2 linked regions of the Notamacropus eugenii genome follow. The protein of the gene in region 2 purifies or fractionates together with the protein of the main gene of each other region. This does not show direct contact. Links are inferred from orthologs where the notes say so. Each region holds a gene or a part of one and is shown on either strand. Other genes may lie near its edges.

Region 1 (12,997 bases), about 180 Mb from region 2:
CTCCTTTTTTTTTTTTTTTTGTAAGGGATTCCTTTCCCTGAATCCTTCTGTAAATAAAACACAATTACAGTTAACTTTAAATCCCAATCTTGTTCTATGGAACAATGATACAACATCTATTTATTCCCATTAGATTTAGAAAGAATGTTCCCAAGGATTTTATTTCCATCTCAGATCTTAAATTTGCCCTAAAAAGCCAATCACTGAAGATCATTTCTTATACATTTTCAAATTCTCACCAAAGCAAGTTCTATATACAATCTCCTCAGCTTCTGGGGCTGCACTTATTACTAGCCTGAGGACTGCTTCTTTTCCCACATATACACACAGTGTACCAGCTTTAGGTTTTAGCATTAGAATTACAAATGGCAAACATAATTTTTCATAAGTGATAACAAATTGTTTTAGCTATGAACCCGGACAATAAATTTCAGATGACATCAACTGCATTTTCATATCCTATTAGAGAAATTAAATTCTTCCCACTTTTGTAACTTACAAATACAAATTGGATAGGTAGGCCTTCCAAAAACCATACAAAAGATTTTACAAAGTATTTCTTAATACAACAAATATTTCCTCTCTTACGAACAGTTTACAATTTATCACAATCCCCTTGAAAGTAACTGACAGAAATCACAAGAAAAGACCTAAACCCAAAGCCTTTTCACATTTGTCCATAAACTTTCTTTTACCAGCATAACTTTAGAGTAAATGCTTGATTCATGGCAAAAACAATTTTAGCTAAAATTTCCTTTTCAACAGCAGAAATAAACTTTTAACATAATACATCCTCAGATGGAACAGGCTTGAAAATCACACCTATATATATATATATATATATATATACATGTACATTTTTAAAGCGTTCTGATTTTCTTAATAAGAATGCTACAACAAGGAAACTCTTACAAAAAAAATTCATAACAGCTCTTTTTAACCAATTCATTAATTAACTTAACAATGTAATTCCTAATACAATATTTAGATGGATTACCTAAAAATTTAAACTTAATTTAAGTTTACTTACAACTTAAAAGAAGCCATTAACCTATTCAGCTCTTTTCATAACCAAATATAAGTTTCAAATTATCAAATTTCTATCATATCCTTTTAAAACCCCAATCTATATGTAATAAATTACAAATTTAAAATCGTGTAACAATTACATTAGATTAACGTTGCATCTAACAAATACCTATCCTTTTGTTACTGGATCAAACATTTTTGGCAGAAATGCCACTGGGTGTCTCTGCCCTCCTCTTATTTGTGTCAGGATTCCCAAGGCCACCCCCTTCTGGCACTCTCACTCTGCAAAGAAAAAGAAAAACCTAAACTTATTATTATTTTTTTACTTTAAATACATTGTCTGGCATCAAATATATTGATCTAATTAAACCTAAATTCAAAACTCTCAGCTCTAAGTTGCTTACTTGAGATTTTTTTACTTTCTAATCTTCTGCTTACTTCCACTAAACTTTAATAAATTTTAACCTATCTTAAACATTAAATTAAGAATGACACATTTCACCTATTCACAATTCCAAATACAACCAGAATGAATTCAATTAACTTTCTATTATTTCCCATCACACTAAAATTTCTTCTTTTGGGTGAGGCAGGAAATGGTTAAATGCTTGCTAGCATGCCTCTTCGGTCTGAGGGAAAAAGATAAATTCCCTCCCTCCCTTTTGTACTTCTTTCAAGCCTTCTGATTACACAGGTGGTGCCAGACGTCTCTCTGAAAAGCCTGCTCCTCTCATCATCTCTACCTGCTTAAATTCTCTTGCCTTTCCCTCAAGCCCCTTTGAAACTACACATAACTTATTTCTTTCTGCTACTAACCTGACATTTCTCCTACATTCTTTTACTTGCTGTTACCAACCATATAAACTGAACAGTAAAATAATTTTTTTTTTCTCCCTTTCTCTCCCTCCTTGTCCCTCTGCCCCTCTGAAACTGCTCTGGAGGGGTTGAAGAAGAGGAGTAACAGGAATTTCAAGGATAGTTCAGCTCAGCCTTTCTGCTCCTGCTGGCTGGATGGCTAAATTTACAACCTTATCAGATAAAAAAAAAAAAACAAAACAGAGACACACAGACTTTCATTCACAAAGAAGTACCCACACAACATATACAGACAAAACATTTAATAGAATAGAATAGGTTTAAATTTTTGGCAAACCCAGTCCTCGGAGGAACCATATTTGGGCCAGATTGTGCCTCCTCCTCCGATGTCTTTTCACCCCATATGAAATAACAACACTTAATCATCTTCTTCTTGTCCTTTCCTCTATAATTTGGTAATTCGTGACAATTCTGTGTGTGAGATGGCTCAGGTCCCTACTTAAATTAATTACTCAGAGGGCTCTCAAAGTGATGACAGAAAGTTTATTTACTAGATTCTCGAGAATCGGGACGATCCTACACCAGTTCACCTGGAGTAGGAAAGACAAAGACAAAGAAAAGGCAGTGATTTATATAGACCCTAACACAAGTCCCTCCTCCCCCGCTGACCATTATCCTCATTAGTTGAGAATATGATCTTACATTCTAGACATGAAATCTAACCAATCCCTTTTGAAATGAAGACATCGAGGAATTATGTTTTATCCAATCATTGAGACCCTAATACACTACACAGTTTTATATCCTTATATGGAACTATTCTATTCTAAAAATATTGCAACCTTGAGCCTCTAGATCTTACCTCACCCCTGGGAGAAGAATTACAATCTGAGAAGTCTTCACTAAACCTATCCCACTCACTGTAATTGATTTCCCAAAGGACTATTTACCGGTATTTCCTGACTCCATTCCAAAGCTTGGTGGGGTTTGGACTGCCTCTTCCCCATTTTTTTGGACGAGGGTTGTCACCAACACCTCCGAGTCTATGACTCAACGAATTTTGCCAGCTCTCATCAGGGGTCGCCCACCCACCAGCAGTCATCTGGCAAATGTTTTTTGGGGGGGCCCTTCACTCTGGGGTCTTGCAGTCCACTAATTTGGTTGGGAGTCATCACCTTCTCCCCGAGTCTATCTAAGACTCAACGAATTGACCCCCGGCCCCCCCACCCCCCCGCACTTACTGCCGGGTCATACCATACAAGTTGCCTGACTGCAACCTTCAACAGCAATCAGTTGGCATTTTCACACACTTCACAGGTTCAGAGTCTTTGGAGTCCTTATCTCTATTCTTTCTGTTCTCACTGAGTTCCTCTGCTTCAGGTCGTTATTTTGCAGAGAGGGAGGCCTGGCGACCCCATTTCAAGGACCATGGGGGGGTGGAATCTCCTCCACAGGTGCACCAGTCCTTGAAACTGAGGTGCCAGCCGTCTCTCTGAAAAGCCGCAGATCCCAGACGAGCCCCCAAACTGTGTGGGATGGCTCAGATCCCTACTTAAATCAATTACTCGGAGGCCTCTCAAAGTGGTGACAGAAAGTTTATTTATTAGATTTTCGAGAATTGGGCAATTCCTCTACCAGGAAAAAGCCGAAGACAAAGAAAAGGCAGTGATTTATATAGACCCTAATGCAAGTCCCACCCCCACCCCCCCTCCACTGACCATTATCCTCATTAGCTGAGAATATGATCTTACATTCTAGACACGAAATCTAACCAATCCCTTTTGAAATGAAGACATTGAAGAATTAGGTTAACTTTATCCAATCATTGAGATCCTATTGTACTACACAGTTTTATATCCTTATATGGAATTATTCTGTTCTAAAAATATAGTAATCTTGAGCCTCTCAGTCTTACCTCACCCCTGGGAGAAGAATTACAATCTGAGAAGTCTTCACTAAACCTATTCCACTCATTTCCTTTTAGAAAGAAATATTTTAATAGTCTTTCTATCATTATTTTATTGTTGTCCTTGGTGGCTACATTTGTTAACCTTTCTTGTATTTCTGTTTCTGGGATGTTTAAAAAGAAAATAATTTGTTCACATCTGGTTTTCTTTCTAGTAGTGCTTCAAATATCTCTTTTTAAAATTGGATATCTATCTTTTTTCCATTAATGTTTAGACCCAGAATTGCAGGGTGTCACCTTTGGTTGCATTTTGAGATTCTTTGCTTTTTGGAACACATTATTGCATTCCCCACCTAGGTTTCTGATGGGTGCAGAATAGTTTTATATTATTTAAATTTCCTTCTCTTTATATTTGAAAGTCTCCTGATTGTTTACAAAATTTGTTGTTTTGTAAGTGAAACTGTTAAATTTGATTATTTTACGTATTGTAATTTTTTGCACAGGTTTTTTTTCTCTCTTGGAGGCAATTTGTGGATTATTTTGATTAATACTTTATTTTCTGTGTTCAGAGTTCTGGGCAGATTTCTTAGGGTTTTTTTTTCTTGCATTATGGTGTTCAGGTTGTCCTGTTCTAAGAGACTTTTAATACTTAAGTTGTCTCTCTGCATTCCATCTTTGAGATCAATATGTAGATTATGCTTTCATTTAACATCATTTTTTGCTTTGACTCTTCCAGATTGCCTTTTATTTCTGTGTATTTCCATTCTCCATTAGATATTCTCTCTTTTGTTTCTTGGGTTAGCCTTGCCACTATAAAGTTCTTTCTTGACAATTATTTTGCCTGTGCAGACCATAAATTCTGCTTTCACAATTCTTTTTTCTCTTTTATGTCATTCTGGAACATTCTGCTGTGGTTCCATACTGTCTTAGGATTTTTTGCCTTATTAGGTTTTGATTTTTTTTCCCTTTGTCTTTCAATATTTATTCATAGATGTCTGGACTCTATGTTAGCTGATATTGAGGCCATATTCACTGCTGTTATTAATATGTTTCCTGATGGCTTATCTGTATACATTCAAGGTATTTAATTCAGTTTTCTTCCACTAGAGATCGCTGATAATTTCAGTCTTTTTTCCTTCCATTACTCACTTTCTGACTCCCTACCCTTTGACAACTTGACCTCTAAATTGTCTCCGCCTTCCCTTGTGCAGGGCAATTCAATTCACCAAAAATTTCTTCCCCAAGTGACTTCTAGGATGGGGTATAGTGAGGTAGACCTCACCTCAGCTGTAGGCTGAGCTTTTTACTTTGGGCTTAATGGAGTGCCACTTAGCCACACATACCATTTCCTTCTGGTCCTCAGTTCTTAGGCTGAACTGTTGTAGCACTGCTGAGTTGCTATACCAGAATGAGTGCAAGCTTCTGCCTTATGGTATTTCCTGTGCCTAAAAAGAATGGGATAGAGTTGAGTTCTGCTGCAAGGCCAAGGGTTGGCTTGTGCAGTCCTGCCAGGGGTGGGGTTGGGTGTGTGTGTGTGTGTGTGTGTGTTGTGTGTGTGTGTGTGTGTGTTTAGGGTTTTAGAGTTTAAGCCTTCTCTGCTGTTAGCTCATCAAACTGTTACCTCTTTAGGGTTGGTGGTGTCCTAGACCTTGGAGACAACTGAAACTGATTTATCACTTGCTCATTAGTCCTACTTTGGAAAGATTCAAGTTCTGAGAACTGGAGAAAAAGTCTAATTGTCTAGCTTGTTCAAGTTATATAACCTAATCTGCAGATCTCCAATTTCAGTTTGCTGTTTTGATTTAGATAAAGGAGTTTATTTACTATTTGTGATAATATTTCATGTAACAAGTATTCATTGGGAAGAATCAAGCTGGTTAAGCAGCTTTGGTAACTTCAGGGTTAAACACTCTTAAAAGTGAAGCAACTTTCCTTCTTAACTCAGACTAGCACCCTTAGTCTGAGATATTTGAGGAGAACAAATAGCTGTAATTCTAGTTCAATACTCCTCCCAGAGACTGGAGGAAAGAACAGAGGCCTGTCCATTTACTCTCAGCTAGTGTGCTGGCTAAACAGGCACTGCCATTGACTCTCTTATACTTTGCAGTAGCGGGTCAGGTTTCTGATAATACCTGCCCTTGTTAACTATGACCATGTCTCACGTGGACATAGTTATCTTACATAAAATACTAAACTTTGAATCTTAGGAAGTTTCTTTGTTGTCACCATAATTATTTGAATGAGATCAGCTTAACAACCCATACTTGAAAAATAAATAGGATAGAAAAAAAATTAATATTGCTCATCTTTGGGCTTGTTGCCAGATAGCTTATAAATTTCTATATTTTGGTTGATCACTTCAAATGGACAATGAACCAGAAGTCATTATATTTTGGAGGATCTGATTTTAAATCCTTTAAATTTGACTTTAAACTAGTTGCTGAAACAATATCTCATCTCATCAAAACTAACATTCTCTTGGTGATGATACAGGGCTGCAAATCACAGTCTAAAAAGAAACAAAAGCCTGAGTGATTTAAATGGCAATGACCGGTCACATGGTGAATGCAAAGAGACTGCAATGTATGACCAGTTATGACTCGTGATAGAGTGGCATAAAACACATCATCAAGACATATGTGGCTGAAAAAGGAGGGAGGTTGTGGAAATAACTCAAGAGTGGTAGAAAGTCAGATTGGAAGTGAGAGAACCTGGGTTTAAATCCTGACTCCAGTACGTATGCATGACCCCGGGCAAATCCTGGTGCCTTGGTTTACTTATTTGTAAAATAAGAGGCTTGGATTGGATGGCTTCTAATCTTCCTTTCATCCTAAATCTATGCTCTGAGGATCTTCTGTATCAAGAGAGATGACAGATACACAGCTGAAAAGCCGGACTGGTACCTCTGAGCTTTTAAAGAACCAGAGACAGGCCCTGCAAGACTGGGTCCACTCTAGAGACAGGTGGTATGGAAGAACGTGAACACCAGAGATGGGAAAAGATTTTCTCCTAAATTGGTGGGGGGATTTATTCACATACTGCTAGGCAGATGTCTTACTGATAGCCCTGACTTAACCAACCCATTCTCGACTCTGGTTTTTCCTCAAATTTCAGGGTTTTTGGCAACATTTCAGAGGGTTGGATTTCTTATTTATTTGGCATTCACTAGCCCCTTGTTAAAACCCCTTCTCTACGGAGGGCAGCTAGGCGGTAGAGTGCCAAGAATGCCAGGCTGGTCTTCCCGAGCTCAGTCAGACCCTCGCCAGCTGTGTGACCCTGGGCCAGTCACTTCACCGTGTTTGCCTCAGTTTCCCCGTCTGTCCAATGAGCTGGGGAAAGAAATGACAAGCCGTGCCGGTGCCTGCCAGGAAACCCCCAACAGGGTCGCTGCTGAGCAACACTCTGGCCTCGGGTTTTTGCTCAGATCTGGGGTACCAGGCACTTGGTATTTTCCCTTTTTTATATTCCCAGTGCTTAGCACAGTGCCCATACACAGTAGGAGCTCATTAAATGCTTACTCACTATACGAATGAAGCCAAGGGGGAAAATGCCACATCGACTTTTCCAAAATTCTCCATATTTCCCATCTGGCCTCTTTCCAACTGGTTACACGGCCTCCCTCCGGACGAGGGTCGCGTTGGGATTCAAAGCCGAGTGAGGACCCTCTTCATTAGGAAACACCCCCAAGCCGGCCCTGGAGCCTTGGCGCATGCGCGCAGCCACACTCGGGCCCTCCGGAAGCCCCGCCCCTCTCCTCTAAAGTTCTCTATGGAATGACTTGTCTGGGAGAGAAGGCCCGCCCCACACCCTCATACGAGCCAATCAGAGGGAAGCGGCGCAGCGCGCCAAGCTAGAAAGGGACCGGCGTGGCTGGGCTGGTTCGTGCTCCGCCTTTTGCCTCTCGGTCTTCCGGGGAGTTCATCTCAAATTCCTTTTTCCCCTCAACCCTCCCCCCATCCCCAACCCCGGCGTGAGGGAGGCGCTCGGAGAGATGCCCCGTGGCGGTAGCAGCAGCCGCCTCCGCCGCAGCGACCGGAAGGTACGGTATGGGGGCTGGAGCAGGAGCGAGGGTGGCGCTCCAGCGGCGGGCGACGAACCTGCTGGGCCCGCTTCCAGCTAAGCGCTCCCTCCCTCCCCCTCGGTCATCCTCGCCCACTGAGCCAGAGTTGGCTACCAGTCAGGAGGCGGCACCCTCCGCGTGGCCTGTTCCGGACTCGCGGAGACTACCAGTCCCAGGCTGCCCCGCGGCGGGCGCTGCTCCTCCCAGTCCTCCCATTGGCTCCGCCGGTTGGGGGGGCGGGGAGAACAGTTCCTGCTGGGACTTGTAGCGTTCTGTCTGAGTCCTTAGGGCTGGGCCAGTGCGGGCCGAGGACCCGAGGCGGGAGCATGTGCCCTATTTTCCAGTTTGGAAAGATGTTTGTCTTGCTTCCCGACCAGTCCTGCAGATTCTCAGTCGTTTGTGAGTCCTTTCATTCGACCGTTATTCGTCCTTCACAGTAGCTGTGGCAAAGCTTTCCTACACTCCTAGATCTAGAACTTCCAGTTCAGGTCCTTCCAGGGACTTAGGACGTCAGTACGGACCGAACCCCCTTGTTTTACAGAAGCCCTTAGACCTGCGGGCCTCAAAGTGTGATCCTGGGGGGAGGGCTCCCCCAGACCTTTTCTGAAGGTTTGTGAGGTCAAAGCTCTTTTAAAAATGATTCCAAGACGTTGTAATTTCGAGTAAAATACCAATTGATCTGACCTCCGTAAACAGAAGCTCTTTAGCGTCTTCAATAATTTTTAAGTGTAAAGAGTCCCAGACCTTAGTGTGGGCTCTCCATGTACCCCCACACACGCTTGGATTGTTTTCATCTGGAGCTCCCGGGCGTCCCCAAAGAGGAATCCAAATTCTGCGTGCTTTTCTCCACATCAGAGGTTTTTCCCCTGGGATCCACACAGTTTCTCCCCCACTCCCATGGATAAATTCCAGGGGTTCATAGAATTTGGACTGGAAAAAAAAGGTACACCTTCATTTTGACTAGCTTCTGACATTTAGCATTTCCTTCAGTTTTTAAGAAACATTATTCTATGAAAGGGTCCATAGGCCCCATCAGATTGTCAGAGGGAAAAGGGAAAAGAACTCTTCTCTAAATAGGTTATTACCCAAGAATGGTCCATTAAAGTGGTGTTTTTAGCATCACCCGTTTTGTCGCCAGTGTGTAGGTTGCAGCCTAATCCTTTCAGTCATCTCATTCGTTCTGCATAGTGACTTTTCTAAAGCTTTTCTGTTCTCATAGTTTTTATAGGTTTAGAGCTAGAAGGGACTTCAGAGGTCACATAGCCCAAACCCCCCATCTTACAGAGGAAGAGGAACAGGAAATTGAAAGCCATAGAGCAACAATTTCTTGAAATGTGATCTAGGCATGAGACCTTTTCAGGAGATCTTGAAGATCATGTGAGGTCAAATTATAATATCCACTCCTTGGAGACGAAGGACCTTTACAGTTTAGCTGTGCCACTTATAACCAGGGTGACTTGGATAAAGCATTTTATCTCCTTGGGTCTCAGTTACTCTGTAACAGTCAACAAGCATTTGTTGTTGTTCAGTTGTGTCTGATTCTTCCTGACTCCATATGGGGTTTTATTGGTAAGGATACTGAAGTGGTTTGCCATTTCCTTCTCTATGGAGCTCATTTTATAGATGAGGAAACTGAGGCCAACAGGGTTAAATGACTTGCCTAGAGTAGCACAGGTATTACAGGTTGGAGCATTTTTTAAGTGCCCACTATGTGTCAAGTCCTGTAGCTTTCCTGCTACAAATAGAAAAGCAAAAATAGTCCCTGCTCTCAAGAAGCTAACATTCCAAGGAGGGAGACAGTATGCAAATAACTATTTACATACAACATATAGAGGGTAGGTAGTAATCTTAGAATTAGAGATTAGAGGAGGCCCAGAAAGGTCTGCAGAAAGTGGAAGTTGATCTGATGCTTGAAGGAAACCTTAAATGTGAAGTTGAGTAAATAGAGCTTTCCAGGCAGGGGGACAGCTAGTGAAAAGGCATGGAGTTCAGAGGAACAGGAAGTAAGCCAGTGTTGCTGGATGTTGGATTACATGGAGAGGAGTAAAGTGTAAGAAAATTGGAAAGGGTGGGAAGGGTCCTGTAAAATGAATAGGATGGACTATATTATATCAGGTCCCTTCCAACTTTTTGTTTATATTCCTATGATTTCCAGTGGTCTGTAGGACAGCTCTACTAGATTTTCCACTAAACTTAAACTAATTAAACTTGAATTCATCATATCGCTTCTGTTCTTACTTCCTTCCAAGCTCCTTTTGCTAATTCCTCTATTTTTGTTGAGGTTATATCTGCCTTTTTCCCAGTCACTCAGGTTTGATATCTTACCTTTTTCCTGACTGCACCCTTTTCCCCCTATCCAAACAATCACAAATTGTGTACATTTTCTCCTTTCCCCCATTACTGCCCCTCAAGTTTCTACTCATGACATACCTGGATAATAGCTTCTAAACTATTTTTCCTGTCTCCACTCTGTTCCATACTTTGCCATCCCATTGACATCCTCTAACTGTTTTGATCTTTTCAAGCCCATGTGGAATCCATTTTCCTAGGACTCAGACTTTAACAGGGCATTCAAAGCCCCACCACAGTTTGATCTTAACCTACCTTTCTAATATGTCTCCAATTATTCCCCCAACCAAAGTACTCTATATACCTTCTTTGCATTTCTTGTCTTTTCTGACGTTATTCTTTCCATCTAGAATATTCTCCTTTTTGCTCTCTGTTTTGAGTTCCTAACCTATCCTTTTAGGCCCATATCAGATTTCATTTGTTTCATGTCTTTATCACTTCAAACACCTGAATTTCTATAGCACTTTGTTTATATCATTTTCATCTCATTTGTCACGTTATAGTTGTATTTGAGTTCTTTATATACTCCCCTAACTATCAGGACAAATTAATACATCTTTTTATTTCTCCTGCCTCTTAGCACAGTACCCTATACATAATTGGAGCTTAGTAAATATTTTTTGGATGAAAGAAAAGGAAACTTTTTGGAAATTATAAGGCATCATGGAAAAAACGTTTTAGTAAGTATCAGGAGACTTCAATTTTAGTTTGAGTTGCTCTGTGACCTGACATTCCTGGGCATCTGTGACTCAGTGATAAAGAGGAGAAAGGTGATAGGGGCCTAAAATAAGGTGGTGAAATAGGGAGTACAGAGAATAGACTTAATAGGGAAAATTATGAATGTAAACAAGCACATTATGAGCGTGTACCTTTGCTCAACTAACACTTGGGGGAATGATGGTTATGGAAAAAAACTTTAAAAAATGTCTCTGTTGTACAAATGCAAGAGATTATTTGGATGAGAAGGAAACTATACATATTTTGTTCAGAGATTGAATCTGAGCTTAGTTTTGGAATTCATTGATAGCAATGTATATTAAGTTGTCATTATCTTAATTGTTTTTATTGTAAACTGTATCAACAAAAGCAAATAAGTTCAACAAAGAATAAATTAATGTTTAAATGATATTCCATACTATTTGTGTTTTTTTCTGAAAAGAAAACAGCTTTATAAATTTTAACAAGATAATAATTATATTTTATTTTTTCTATGTCCCCTCTAAATTTTTCTCTCTGTATGATTCTTAGATTTCCTTGCTGTTGTTTTATATATATCTGTAATCAATGTATGTAGTTTTATTTTATTGTCTAAAGTTTGTATTACTCATTATCATAGAATCCAAGCTAGAAGGAACCTTAAAGGTCACTAATTTCAGTATCCTCATTTTACAAATAAAAGGAAACAGATCTAGAGAGTTTCTGTGCCTTGTCTCATAGGTAGCACTATCGCTTGGATGTAATTCATCTCTCTGCAAATTCACCCAGGGGTGTTGTGACTCTCCAGTGAAGTAATGGAGGGAAAGCACTTTAAAAACCTTAGAGGGATATGATAAATGCAAATTGTTGCTGTTATTATCATTAACCTTCATTCACCAGAGCTCCAGTGTGCTCATAACTTCATTTCTTGAACTTTCTGCTGCTCTCCTGTCAAGCTCAAACGTTTCTAGAGCGATTGTGGGATGTACTGGCTAGTATTTACCAGTTGGGCTGTCTAGCTATCTACACTTTTAAGTTTAATCTGCATTATTAACACTGGACAATCAGTGAAACAAATCAAACCCTGATTTTTAGCTCATTTTTTATTTCTGAGGTATAAATGCTCACAATGAAATGGAAACTTGGCCAAGCTAGCTCCCCCACTTTTCTTACCCTACCATACTCATTTTTCTTTGTGTTCTTCATAATTATTTTTATGGCACAATTATATTACACTTATATATATACTTATATATTATATATATATATATATATATATATAATAAGTGTATATATATATATATATAAGTGTATATATATATATACACTTATATATTACACTTATATCAACATTTATTTGGCTGTTTTCTACTTGTTAGACATAGAGCTTGCTTATTGCTATTACTAACAAAAGTGCGATGAATATTTTTATACCAGTAGGTCTTCTTTTCACCTTTTAGTAACATCCTTAGAGCATATCTGTATCTACAAACATATCTCCATACATATACACACATGTATGTGTGTAGTTATATGTATATACATACATATGTGTATACACATATACATGTATGCACAGACACATATATTAGCGGGATTTCTTACCCCCACCCCTTAGCTAAGGACTTTGCTTTAGAGTATCCTGAAAAAAGAATTAGATATTTTACAGAGAAGTCTCTATATTGTTTAATTTATTTTCTTTTTAAGAACTGGATCTGTGATTTCACTAGTGCAGGGAACTTCTGGTGTGAAAACTTCTTCTGTCTGTCAGCAGCTCATCTGGAACTTAGTCTTAGGGAGTCACCTGGAGCATTAAGAAGTTAAGTGACTGGTCTTTGGTCAAGCAGCTATCATGGGAAGGATCTGAATCCAAAGACATGAGAGAATGTAATTTTAATATCCTCCTCTCATATCACTCAAACGTACTACCCCATTATCTCATTCTTCACTTCTATCTTGAATGAATACTTTTACTTGCTCTTTCCCAAGAAGAACTCTATTACATATATCCTTGATCCACTCCCCTGTGGTCTTCTCTAGTAGGTTGCCCTTTCTACCATTCGCACTTTCTTTTTCTGATCCTGAGTCTCCATATCTAGTGAGTCCTTTCCTGAGTCCTGAAAACACAGCCAAGTCTCCCC
Region 2 (12,399 bases):
CAGCTCTGGTCAGGGCATGGTGGCCCCCTCCTCACCCTCATGGCCCAAGCATAAGAAGCTTGCTGGGGATATTATAGACAGTGTCACAGCATTTTACCCAATAGTGGCAAGACAGCACAGCTGTCAGAATCCAACTGGACTTATGCCCATGACAGTGCCTCTGTTCACCTCTAGACAGCTACTCTCAGATACAAAGGCAATGTGGCTGGGGAGAGACAAGGTCCCATGAAGGCTGTCCCCATCCCCAGACCAAGGTTCTTAGCTGGGGCTGCTGGGCTTGGTTTTCTGAGGTAGGTGCTGGCATGCTGAGTGGGTTACTTGGGAAATGGCCATCTCACCATCATGTCCAAAACTCAAGCACCATTCCTGCTTGGGGAAGCCTAACCCACTGGAGAGGTGGGCCCTGAAGCACTGCTCGGAGTCCTGGGGCCGTGCCCCTGCCGGGTCTGGGGGCTCGGGCTCTAGCCAGAGGCACGTGGGCAAGTATCTCTGGAGCACTGCCAGCTGGAGGGAAGCTGCCTCTGGCTCAGCCTCAGCAGGGCTTCTCATTGTGACCAAGAGTCCACAGACACTGCCTGAGCAGCCTGAGAAGTGGGCGGCTGTGTCCACCAGCAGGGCTGCCAGGTGGGCACACGCCTGGACTCCAGAAGTGTCTGCCAAGTACTCATCTATCCCGTCCAGCAGCAGGAGGGAGGGAGGCTGGGCTGCTGTCTCATGCACAGAACTAAGAAGCTGCAGCAGCTCCCTCAAGGATGGTGGATACAGGAAGTGGATTTTCTAAAAGAAAGAGACAAAAGGGACAAGATAGTAAGAACTAGTCTTTATGCAGTACTTTAAGGTCTGCCAAACCTTGTACACAGGTGATCTCCCGGATCCTCACAACTACCCTGGGAGGCGAGTGATGTTATCATCTCCATGGGCAAGGATGACCCCGTGGCTTGGTCATCTGGCTAGTGAGTCCAAGTCAGGATGGCACCTCAGGTCTTCTTTACTCCAAGGTCTTGCACCAGTTAGCTGCCTCAGGGAAGCTCCCGCTGAGCCCACCCTTAGAAAATAACTGGAGTAAGCCAGAGAGAAAAAAATCCCAAATGTCCAAACTGCAAGGGAGTTCGGACTACAGAGCTTCCAATGACCCCTGATCTCCTAACGAGCCAAGCTCAAACTGCTTGACTTGGCATTCAAAGCCCTGCAATAATTAACCTGTCCTCCCCTCCCTTTCAGCCTAGTCACCTCACACATCCCACAAATTCAGACTCATCCTAGGCCTTCAACGAGAAACTTCTTTCATCTTTCCTCAAACTAATCCGAACCCTACCCATTCTTCATGGCAGAGATCACAAAACCCTGCCCAATTCCTTGCCTCCAGCCACAAGGATATGTCCTATATGCTCACAAGTTGAGCTGGTCTCATCCTGGATGCCATCCTTTACCATACACACATATTAGTCATCATATGTATATTTCATTCAATCAATTCAATTCCACAACATTAGTTAAGCACCTACTATGTGCAAATCATGGGAGTAGGCACTGAGGATACAAAGAAAAAAATGGCAGGGAGTGCCTGAAGAGGGCTTACATTCTACTTGGGACACTGAGACCTGTCCACAGATGGTGTCTAATTCAACTTAGAATGGGAAGAGGAAAAAAGACAGAAAGTTGGAGAGAAGTTAACATTTTGTAACTTCCACTTTGGAGGTGAAGAGTGGGGGTGGGCTACTCTAGGACAATGGAGAAAGGCCCCAGGGAAGATGAGGGGGAGATACCTTTCAGGAAAGGTGGCTAGACCACAAAAATGTCCAGATCTTGGGCAACAGCCTGTCCAGTCAGAGGAATGGGCAGTCAGTGGTCTACTTTGTGATGGGGGAGGGGTGTAAGCAGATAAGACCAATATCACACATGGCTAGAAGGGTCATTTGAAGCCTGGCCAAGGCTTCTCTCCTTCAGAGAGAGCAGTGAATTGACAAAGAAGATGACTTTGGCCACGGTGCACAATCCAGGGGCAATATTCCAGGTGAGAAGGGATATGGGGGCAGAGGTTGCACTGGGGTGGTGACTGTGAGTGGAGGGAAGGGGATGGATTCGAGAGTCACACTGACAGGATTTAGTAACTGACTGGCTGCAGGAGAAGGAAGGGCCAAAGGTGACTCCAAGGTTTTGGGAAAAGGTGACTGGAAAGGATGGTGGTGCTGGCAGCAACTGAAGCAGGGAAATTGGGAGGTGGGGCAGGTTTATGGAGGAGATAATGAAGTCCGTTTAGGACAGGCTGAGCCTGAAACATTCGTGGATGTTCAGATAGACGTGTCCTGAAGGCAGTTGGGGATGTGGGAGTGAATCCAGAGATTAGGATATCTCGATTTGAGGGCCTTCTACACAGAAACAATCATTAAACTTATGGGCACAGATGTCTGTCAAGGGAGAAGGAAAGGGGAGCCAGAGGGGAGCCAGTACTGGGGGAGGGAAGGGGGGGAGGAGGGGAGGAGATAAATGAGCAGGAAAAAAGACGGAGCAGCAGAGTCACGAGAGTGACCATGAGAACACACTGGTGGGAGGGGTGGAAAATAATGTCCATTGTTATAGAAAGGTCAGGGAGGGCGAGGGCTGAGAACAGACCATGCCATTGACCTGTTAAGATTTGACCTGTCACCTTCAAGAGAGAAGGTTTCTCAAGTAGAATAGTTAGAAGCCAAGGTTATGAGGGGTTGAGGAGTAAATGGGGAGTAAGGAAATGAAGTGAATGTACATGATTCTTTCTAGGAGTTCAGCAGTGAAGGAGCAGAGAAATAATCTCTCAAGGGGATGGGAGGGTCAAGAAGGACGTTTAAGGCTAAGGGTGACCTGAGCATGACTGTAGGTATGATAGGGAGAGGCTGACAGTGAAAGAAAGAGAAGGCTCCTCTTTCAACAAAGATGGTGGGGGATGTAATCAAAGGTACAAGGAGAGGGACTGGTCAGTCATAACAAGGAAAGGGTCACATCTTTCTGTGACTGAAACACAAAGAACAGATGTTGGGGAGACAGAAAAAGGTTTCCAGGTGTGGAGGAACAATAGGTGACATTAATCAAAGAGGGAGGCCAGATCATGTGGATAGGGCTAGGGACTTGCTGAAAGAAGTCTGGACCAGCCTCCATGGGGAATGTGGTCAGTCTAAAAGGACTGACTGTCATGCAGCAGGGAGGATCCAGCTGAAGTTAGAGAATACAGATCTCTGGAGGACCCAGCAAAGATAGTGTCAGCATTCATTGGCTCGGCAATCCCAATCCGACCTGAGAAGGCAGATGGTGAGAATGGTCTTGAGGGAGGATGGGTCAGTTGAGAAAGTCAGCATGAAAGTGACTCAAGGTTAGAGGGCATTGTTTGGTAGAACAGGTTAAGTAGAGGGTCAAGGTTTCTTCTAAGTAACCCAGGAATATGTGCTATTTAACTTTTTAATCAATGATTTGGATAAAGGCAATTCAGTAAATTCTTACTGAATTTACACAGGATACAAGGCCAGGAGCGATAGTTAAGGCATTGAATGACAAAGTTGGGATCCAAAAAGATTCAACTAGCTAGACTGTTGAGCTAAATCTTAATATGATGAAATTTGATAGATATGAACATGGAGTCTTGGGTTAAAAAAAAATCAACTTTGCAAGTATATCATTATGTGTGGAAGTGGACAGTGTTGGGCCTGAAGTCAGGAAGACCTGAGTTCAAATTCAAATTGAACTCAAATTGAGTTCAAATACAAGAACAGACACACCCATTTTGTTTGGTGTTTGTTACATTCAGAATATTTTTTTCTTAAGAAAAAAAGGGTTCATCACATTTTTGGGAGAGCAGTGTCATTCAAGTGTTTGGGCTGAAAACTAGGCCAGGAGGTGTTGGAAATCGGGGAAAGAAATGAAGGCAAGGGCTGTAGACTAGCAGGGTTAAACTCAACACTGCATGTCAACTTGGAAAACCACAAATTCACATTATGTTGTATTTTAAGCTTTATTTTGTTAAACCTTTGCCAGCTACATTTTAATCAATGTTCAGCCCCCACTGGGGAGGTTTGTAGGCCATGAATTTGACACCTCTGGTGCAGAATGCCCTTTCTAGGAGTCTGTTTGATCAAGTCAAAGGGAATATAGATAGAGGATAATAATTTGAGCAGATGGCAGGGTCATGAGAAGGTTTTTTAAGGATAGAGGAGATACTGGCCTATCTATAGACTGCAGGGAAGAAGTCAGTGGATAAGGAAAGATCAAAGATCAACCAATCAGGTACTGTGCTAGAGGATAGGGGTACAGAGACTAAAACTAGAGTCCCTATCTTTAATATCTTTACATGCTACTAGGAGGAAAAAAACAGATATAGAGAAATCAATACAAAACATAAGATAATTACAAGGTAACTTTTTAATTTGACGGAAGGCTCAGGAAGACGCAGCTCTTGAGCTGAGCTCTCAAGTGTGACCACAGACCAGAACCCTCCCCTAAAATCCCTAGGTCGCAAGGCCTGGGTGACATCCTTCGGGGGAAAGTCTAACCCCAAAGTGGTATCTTATCTTTCTGGCTTGTTTTGCCCCTATCCCAGAGTTTTACTCCAGGCAAATCTCCAAAATAAAGCTTAGGTTGAAGACAAATGAAATGGCTGAAAAGCGAGAAGGGAAGAGCGAGATCAGATCAGAGTAGACAAGATGGACGTAGGGTGGGGTGAAGAGGTACAGAGCAGGGTAGGAAGGAAGAATAGGTTGGGAGGGACCTTAGAGGTTATCAAGTCCTTAAAATCAAAGGATTGCAGATTTTAGAGCAAATGGATCATCTCATCTAACCTCATTTTTTACATGGGGAAATTGAGGTCCAGAGTTATGAAGTGATTTGTTTGTTAAAGGTAACAGAGAAGTACCAGTGTCAGGTACAGAAGTACCTATGTCCCTTAACTCCAAATTCAGCAATCTTTCCAATACACCAAAATCATGGAAACGGAAAAGTTTTAGGTGAGGGTGAAATCTAAGTTGTCAGCACCCCTATAGTTTGACAGAGTACAGTCAGAGTTGATGGGAGTTGAAAAGATTAATGAACTGGGAGACCAGGACATTATAAAGTTTGTTGGCATGAACCATGAGCCAAGTCCTCAACTCCTGGAGGAAGGAAAAAACGTGATCTGGAGCTCAGCACATAACAGCAACAAACACCTGGATAGCGTCCGGATGATGGAAATTTAAAATGGAAAGGTCGCTGAGAACTGGTGCAGAGAGAGAGTCTCAAAGTGCATGACTCCTGGCCCCGAGTATCAAGAGGCATGAGACATTGGCCAAGACTGGAGATGGTCACAAGACATATGCTGCCCTCAGGATAAAGCAAGGCTTGAGTTACTACCTGAAGGTAGAAAGAATAGGAGGGAAAGAGGAGGAGTTTGTTAACAAAATGAGTGGACATTCTACAGAGCACAGTGGAAGGGAAAAGCAGAGGAGGGAAAGAAATTGGGCTGAGTTGTATAGGGATGAGCATTCAGGGGGACACCAGGGGAAAGAGATTTCCCCCAAGGCAGGTAGAAACTATGAAACATAGGGATTAGTGGAGCAGGAGGTAGCAATCTGCCAGCCTCAGGGCAGGGGGAGAATTAAGTAGGGAGACTATGACCAGTGTCTGCTCCTTTTCTGACTGCGTTTGAGGCTTCAAGTCCCTCCCCACTTTAAATCTGTCCCCCACAAAGTTGCCAAACGCCCATATTATTATTCCCCAACTCATTAAAATCCAGTGGCTCCTTATTGCCTCTAGAATAAAAACACAAACTGCTCTGTTCGGCCCTTCACAACCTAGTCCCAACCTATTTTTCCAGCCCCACTATACACTGTTCCCATCCAACCAGGCTCCTCCTGCTGCTGCTCACACAATGTGTCCCTGTGTCTTTGCAATGGCTGCACCTCCATGTATGGAGTGCACTTGCTCCGCATCTCTGCCTCGGAGATTCCCGGACCTTCATCGAGACTCATCTCCAGCCTACATACTCCTACAAGTCTCAGCGCCCACCACCTGCCTGGTATTTCTTTTGTGTTTGTCCTGCATGTGTTACGTAGGGATCTGCCTCTCTTGGAAGGCAAGGGCTGGGTTTTTCTGTTTTTGTATCCACAACAACTAGCACCGCGCCTGACACACCCTGGGCACTTAAGAGATGGTGGGTGACTCCATCCCAGAGCCCCGCCCCTTCCAGAGCTCCGCTCCACAGATGGCTCCGCCTCCTCACCACAGAGCTCCTCCCCCTCCAGAGTCCCGCCCCGCAGATGGCCCAGCCCCCTGGAGCTCCGCCTATCAGTTACCTGGAGCCTCAGCGGGTCCCTAGCAGCTCCGGCCTTCCATCCTGGAGGGAGGCTCTGGAGGGCCTTGCGAGCCACAAACAGCACTGGGCCCCGACCCTCCCCCGCTGCCACCAGGGCAGCCGCGAACAGCAACGCCGTCTTGCCGGAGCCCGGCTCCCCGAGCAGCAGAAGGCCGGTACCCTTCCCAGCGGCGCAACCTTCTCCGCCGACCCCTGCGCCCGGACTCAGCAGCGCCCTCAGAGCCTCCATGCCCGCTCTCAGCCCTCCCTCTGCGCTGCACACGCGGCCAATCAGAGCGCTGCTCTGCGCTAATCCCTCCCCCTTGAAAACGGTCCATTGGCTAGGCTCAGTTCACTTCGGTAGCTCGCCGGAGGGGCCGGGCGAACGCTCCCAATGGGCGGTCCCTCCACGTGGTCTTCCCAGGCTCGACTGCAATGGGGGGCAAGGTCTTCCAGGGCACCCCCTACTGCGCCCTCCTAGATCACCGAGCCTCACGTCTTCTTTTTCTTTTTCCTTCCTTTGTCTCTTCTCCAGTGCCTTTCCTCAGTTAAATATTCCCATTTTTCCTGCATATAACTTGCTTTGTATGTATCTGCATGTTGTCTGAGGGCAGGGACTCTTTTGCCCCTGTATGTATCCCTAGCACAGTGCCTAGCACGTAGTAGATGGTTAGTAAATGTTGATTGATTGATCTTGCATTCTGCAGTCCATTTAATCTCCATCTTTTCTCTCTACCACATCTCCCAGTTTGTTTCTCAGTTAAGAATTTACTAAGTACCTGCTCCTCGAAAGCGCTGTGTTAGGGCCCTGGAGATAGGAGGACAAACACGGAAAAGATTCCTATGCACAAGGAGCTTTATTCAACAAGTATCTCATATCACTAAAGTTCCTGTCAGCAGAAGCTTAGACCAAAGGGTAAAAAAGACAGACGGCTGCAAGTACCTGAAGCCTTTGCTTCCCTGAGATCCCAGGACAGAGTGGCGAGCCAGGAGGGAGGCATCTCTTGTTTATACAAACACATGCCTCTCCCACCTTACTCCCTTTCTATGGTTTTGGGCCAGTGAAGTTCAGGAATCCCTGACTGTACACAAAGAAACGGGAAAGACAAGAAGGAGAAGTTTGGGGAGATTGCTGGAAGCAGAAGTCACCATGTAGGAAACACATTTTTCTTTTCACTTTTAAAAAATAAGCGATGTAGCCACAGTATGTTGAATGTATATCCAGAACCTTGTTGAGGCTGCAGGTTCCCCACCCCTGGCTTATGCCATGTGAACATGGGGGTGGAGGGTGGGGGGCAGGGCAGAGAGAAGATTCTAGTTGTAAAACAGGCACACTAGAATGAGAGATTTCTTGCTTTTTAATCATTTTGAGCAGTATTCCGTGTCATCCCCTGGTTAAATTTCTAGTCTTTAGCCAGTGCTAGCATGTAATTTGGTTGGTATGTGAAGAGCAGTCTAATACCTGCTATGGGTCAATGGAGATGCTTCAGCCTTTGGGGATGCTATACTATGTAAGACCCAGAGAAGAACTGAGGGTCAGTGGCTCAAGGAGAGGGACGCTTGGTGGGCTAATCAGGTATTCACTCCAAAAAACAGTCCAAGAATCTCATGTATATGTCTCCTTTTCATAGTGAAACTCCTAGGAAAAGCAATGTTACTTTTCCCCACTTTCCTCTCAACCACTTCCAACAGCATCATTCAGTGGAAATTGCTCTCTCCAAGGTAACCAATGTTTTCTTAATTGCCAACGTATTAACTTTTTTCTCAGTCCTCATTCCTCTTGACTTCTCTGCTATGTTTGATGCTGTTAGCAGTTTTGTCCTCCAGGATTCTCTCTCTCCTGGATTTTTGTGATCCCATTCTCCTTTTTTAGGGTGAAGTGGATAGAACACTGAGCCTGGAGTTAGGAAGACTCATTTTAATGAGTTCAAATCTGACACTAGTTGTGTAACCTTGGGCAAGTTACTTAACCCTCTTTGCCTCAATTTCCTCATCTATTAAATGACCTGAAAGAAGGAAATGGCAAACCAGTCTAGTATCTTTGCCAAGAAAACCCCAGATGGGGTCGTGAAGAGTCAGACATGACTGAAAAACAACAACTTTTTCTTTTAACTATGTAATTGTTTGTTTTCAATCTCTGTTGTTGATCTATGTCACATCCCCTAATTGTGCATTTACCCTCAAGACCATATCTTGGGCCCTCTTCTTTTTTTCTCCCCTCTTTCTCCTTTGGCAAGTTCATCAACTTCCATGGGTTTAACGATCATCTCTATGTAGATGACTCTCAGGTCTATATATCAAGCCTTCATTTCTCGAGTTCCAGGCTTACATTCATCAGATGAATGTTGGACATCTGCAACTAAATGTTTCATAGAAATCTCAAACTTAACATGTCTAAAATGGAGCTCATTATCTTCCCTTTCAAACTCACCCCTCTTCCTAACTTCCCTATTTCTCCCAAGGGTATGACCATCCTTCCAGTCAGCTGGAAGATCAGGAACCCTGGGAGAGGCACCACCCTTCCTGATTATTAGGTCTGCTTTCAGACCAGCCATCATTTGGGGAGGCAACTCCTGTGGAGAAGGAGCCAGGCATCCTTATTAATTGTCAACCAATTGTCACTCACTGGGCAAGCAAGCCAGTCTAGCTGAAGTAGCAGTGCACCCTTGGGGAGAGATAAGAGGCAGCATATGCCAGGTGGGGCAAACTACCTCTACCGTAACCACCATATCCCCTCCAATCCTGATGGAAACAGCCCAGAACCCTGAATCCCAGAGCTTTAGGAATGGCAATTCTTCCAGGCAAGGGCTTTTAGTCATTATCTTGGGATACGTGGGTACTACCCACAGAAGACACAGAAAAGAAAGTTCTTGTCACCCAAGTCTTTGGTACTATCAGATGGTTCAATATCAGAATCTGATATGATTTTATCACTGGAAATGACATTTAAAAAGAGTGATTACCACCTGCTTTGCTGCTGTATCCTAAGGACATAGACCTTTCTATCCAACTGTAATGTTAATGGAATGTGAAGATCTTCCCCATCCATTAATAGACCTATGTAATCAGGGAAATCTTACAGCTTTGAGCTCCAGCCAGCTGTGATAAACTTGAGTCACATAGAGCCCACTGGGGGAGGAACTTGCCTAAGGAAGAGCTTGCTTAGGGGAGGCTTGTTTTCAGGAAGGCTTTCACACCTTTTGGTACTAAGCTAATTAGGCATTGAGTCACAAGGGTTGTGATGCCTTCTGGTTCTGAGCCTATTAGCCAAAAGTGTCTGTGTATATATGTATATATTCTGAGTTGAGATTTTGCTTTGGGAGTTTGCTTATGAGAAGGATCTTTTGATTCCCTGGACAGGACTCTGATTTGTTAAGAGTCTCCTCCCCATCCCCCATCCCCACTACTCAAATGTTTGTGCTCTCCTGCTCTGATGGCATATGTAGGTACTTGTATTACTTTGTTCAGACAGTTGGAGCCCTGTCTGTTAAATCTCTGTGTTCATTTCTCTGCTTGTATTTTCTACTTATCTGTAATTAAAGTAAGATCGTTGACCCCCTCTGAAGTTATCTTTCTTTCAGAAAAGCAGATCAAAGAACCTGTGCTAGCAGGCCATCCTGGGTATGCTTGGGTGCTTGCTAGTACACCAACTTACAGCTAAAACCTTCCGTGTGTACATCTCTCCCATTTAGAAGGTGCGGTCTTTGAGAGCAAACGCTGCGACATTTGTATTCCTCACATTTAGTTCAGTGCTCTGCACATAATCAGCACTTCATTCCTTCATTCATTCATGCATTCATTCCTTCTAATCACCCAGGTGACTAAAGTTTCAGAATCATTTCCAGTTCTTTACTCTCCCTTACATCTCCATTTCTAGTCAGTTTCCACAAAATCTCAGCCACCCCTCGCCCCCAATTCAGGTCTTCATCACCTTTGGCCTAGATTATTGAAGTATCCTCCTAACTGATCTCTCTATTATCTCTCCTTTCCAGCCCAAACCTCTAAACAACTTCTCAATGAATATTCCTAGTGACATGAACATGTCACTCTCCTATTCAAGAAGATTCAGACGCTTCTTACTACCTCTAAGAAAATACACACTCTTCTGGTTGGCATTTAAAACTCTTCATAATCTTTATCTCCAGGCTAATTTCACCTTACTACACCTCACACACTCTACATTCCAGCCAAACTGACTTACGTGCTTTTTGTCATGCAAAACATTCCATCTCTAGCAACTGTGGCTTTGTACAAGCTGTCCCCTGGTGCCTGGAATGCGCTCCCCTCACACCCCAACCTCTGGAATCTCTGGTTTCTTTCAAATTTCTGCTCAAGTGCCTCCTGCTACTAGAAGTCTGTCTTGATTCCTCCCACTCCTCTCACACACTTGTTATGGCCTTCCCCACTAAAATTATTCAGTGTTTAGTGCATATGTGAGGCAGCTTTCTACTTGGGACTGTAGCTGTTTTCCTTCCTATTTTTACCCCCTAGATCTTCAGGCATCCAAGAGAGATGGAAATATAGAACTGAATCGCCTTGAGGTAGGCATTACCATAAATGGCAGTTGTCAGAGGTCATGTTGATCTAGTAGGACTTTTCACTTTTTAAAGTATTTATTCATCTACAAAAATATTTATAGCAGCTATGTTTGTGGTGGCCAAGAACTGGAAATTAAGGGGATGCCCATCACTTAGGGAATGATTGAACAAGTTATGATATATGAACGTAATGGAATATATTGTGCTGTAAGAAATAATGAATAGGCAGACTTCAGAAAAACTAAAAAAGACTTATATGAACTGATGCTTAGTGAAATGAGCAGGACCAGGAGAACATTGTACGCAGTAACAGCCACAGTGTGCAGTGATTGACTTTGATAGACTTAGCTCTTCTCAAGCAATGCAAGGACCTAAAGTAACTCCAAAAGACTCATGATGAAAAATGCTATCCATTTCCAGAGAAAGAACTGTGAAGTCTGAATACAGATTGAAGCATACTATTTCCTCTCTTTTTTTGTTTTGTTTTGTTTTTTCTTTTTCATAATTCCTTCCATTCATTCTCATTCTTCTAATCAACATGACTAATCTGAAAATATGTTTAATAAGAATATATATAGAGAGTCTATATCAGAATGTATGCTGTGTTGGGAAGGGGCGAGGAGAGGGAGGCGGAGAAAATTTTAAATTTATTTAAGTTCATGTTAAAAACTAAAAATAAATTAATTAAAAATAGATCGAAGCTTTCCATTGCTATACAAAAAAATAAAAACAATATTTATTTTGTACAAATATTTTCCTTGGGGGCCCCCACATTGAACAATTTTGAGAAAGAAAATCCTCATAACAGATATGGATAGACCAGCAAAATAGCTTCCCACATTGGCCATGCCTGGCAAATATGTTTCCTGTCTGGCAGGAGGTAGTTGGTGTGTTTCATCTTCGTCTTCTGGACTCATGGTTTATAACTGCATAGATCAGAGTGTTCAAGTCATTCAAAGACATTTTTCTCTAGTGCTACTGGCATTGTATAACTGCTCTTCTAGTTGTGTTCACATCAGTTCCTAAAAGGCTTCCCAGTTTCCACTGAGACTGTCCATCTCATCATTTCTTATGGCACAGCAATATCCCATAATTTGTTTGACCATTCCCCAGTTGATGTGCATCCCTTTAGTTTCTGGGTCTAGCAGGACTTTTTTTCAGGGTATTCCTCACCAGAGAGAGATGTGTCTACTCCTGGTTCCTGTCATTGAGGGGGCCTTTGCTGGTTTTTCCAACATTTTGATGCTCACAGAAATGTAACCTGATCACTGTTGTTTCTAAATAGTCATTTACAACCAGGATAGGGTACATTATTTCTAGAATAGGAAAGAATAAACACAAGTGATCGAAGAGATGGAGGTATTGTGTGTTCATGGCTATGCAGTTGGTCTGGTGGGGAGAGAAATCTGCCATAGCAGGTGACTGCTACTGCCCCTCCTCCAGCCACCCAGAGGCCCATAGCATTTCTTCCTCCTCACTCAAAAGCCATCTGGGAAGGAAATGAGAGTTCCTTTGCTCAAAACTTGCATATGCACACTTAGTTAAGCTTCATGACCCAGTTAGAAGTCTGTC

The links.
Region 1: the proteins of SWSAP1 (region 2) and SPIDR purify together in Homo sapiens (co-immunoprecipitation; 3 studies listed by BioGRID and IntAct, with this or other methods). This does not show direct contact. The link is inferred for Notamacropus eugenii from reciprocal best matches to the Homo sapiens genes SWSAP1 and SPIDR.

Annotation. Positions count from the first base shown.
Region 1 is NC_092875.1:263,090,612-263,103,608, forward strand, and holds the start of SPIDR (DNA repair-scaffolding protein), read left to right. Parts: upstream 1-7,594; 5' UTR 7,595-7,742; coding exon 7,743-7,790; intron 7,791-8,054; exon of another isoform or gene 8,055-8,210; intron 8,211-12,997. UniProt on the Homo sapiens protein: Plays a role in DNA double-strand break (DBS) repair via homologous recombination (HR).
Region 2 is NC_092875.1:78,506,559-78,518,957, forward strand, and holds the start of SWSAP1 (ATPase SWSAP1), read right to left. Parts: upstream 6,575-12,399; 5' UTR 6,540-6,574; coding exon 6,291-6,539; intron 778-6,290; coding exon 259-777; 3' UTR 1-258. UniProt on the Homo sapiens protein: ATPase which is preferentially stimulated by single-stranded DNA and is involved in homologous recombination repair (HRR). Has a DNA-binding activity which is independent of its ATPase activity.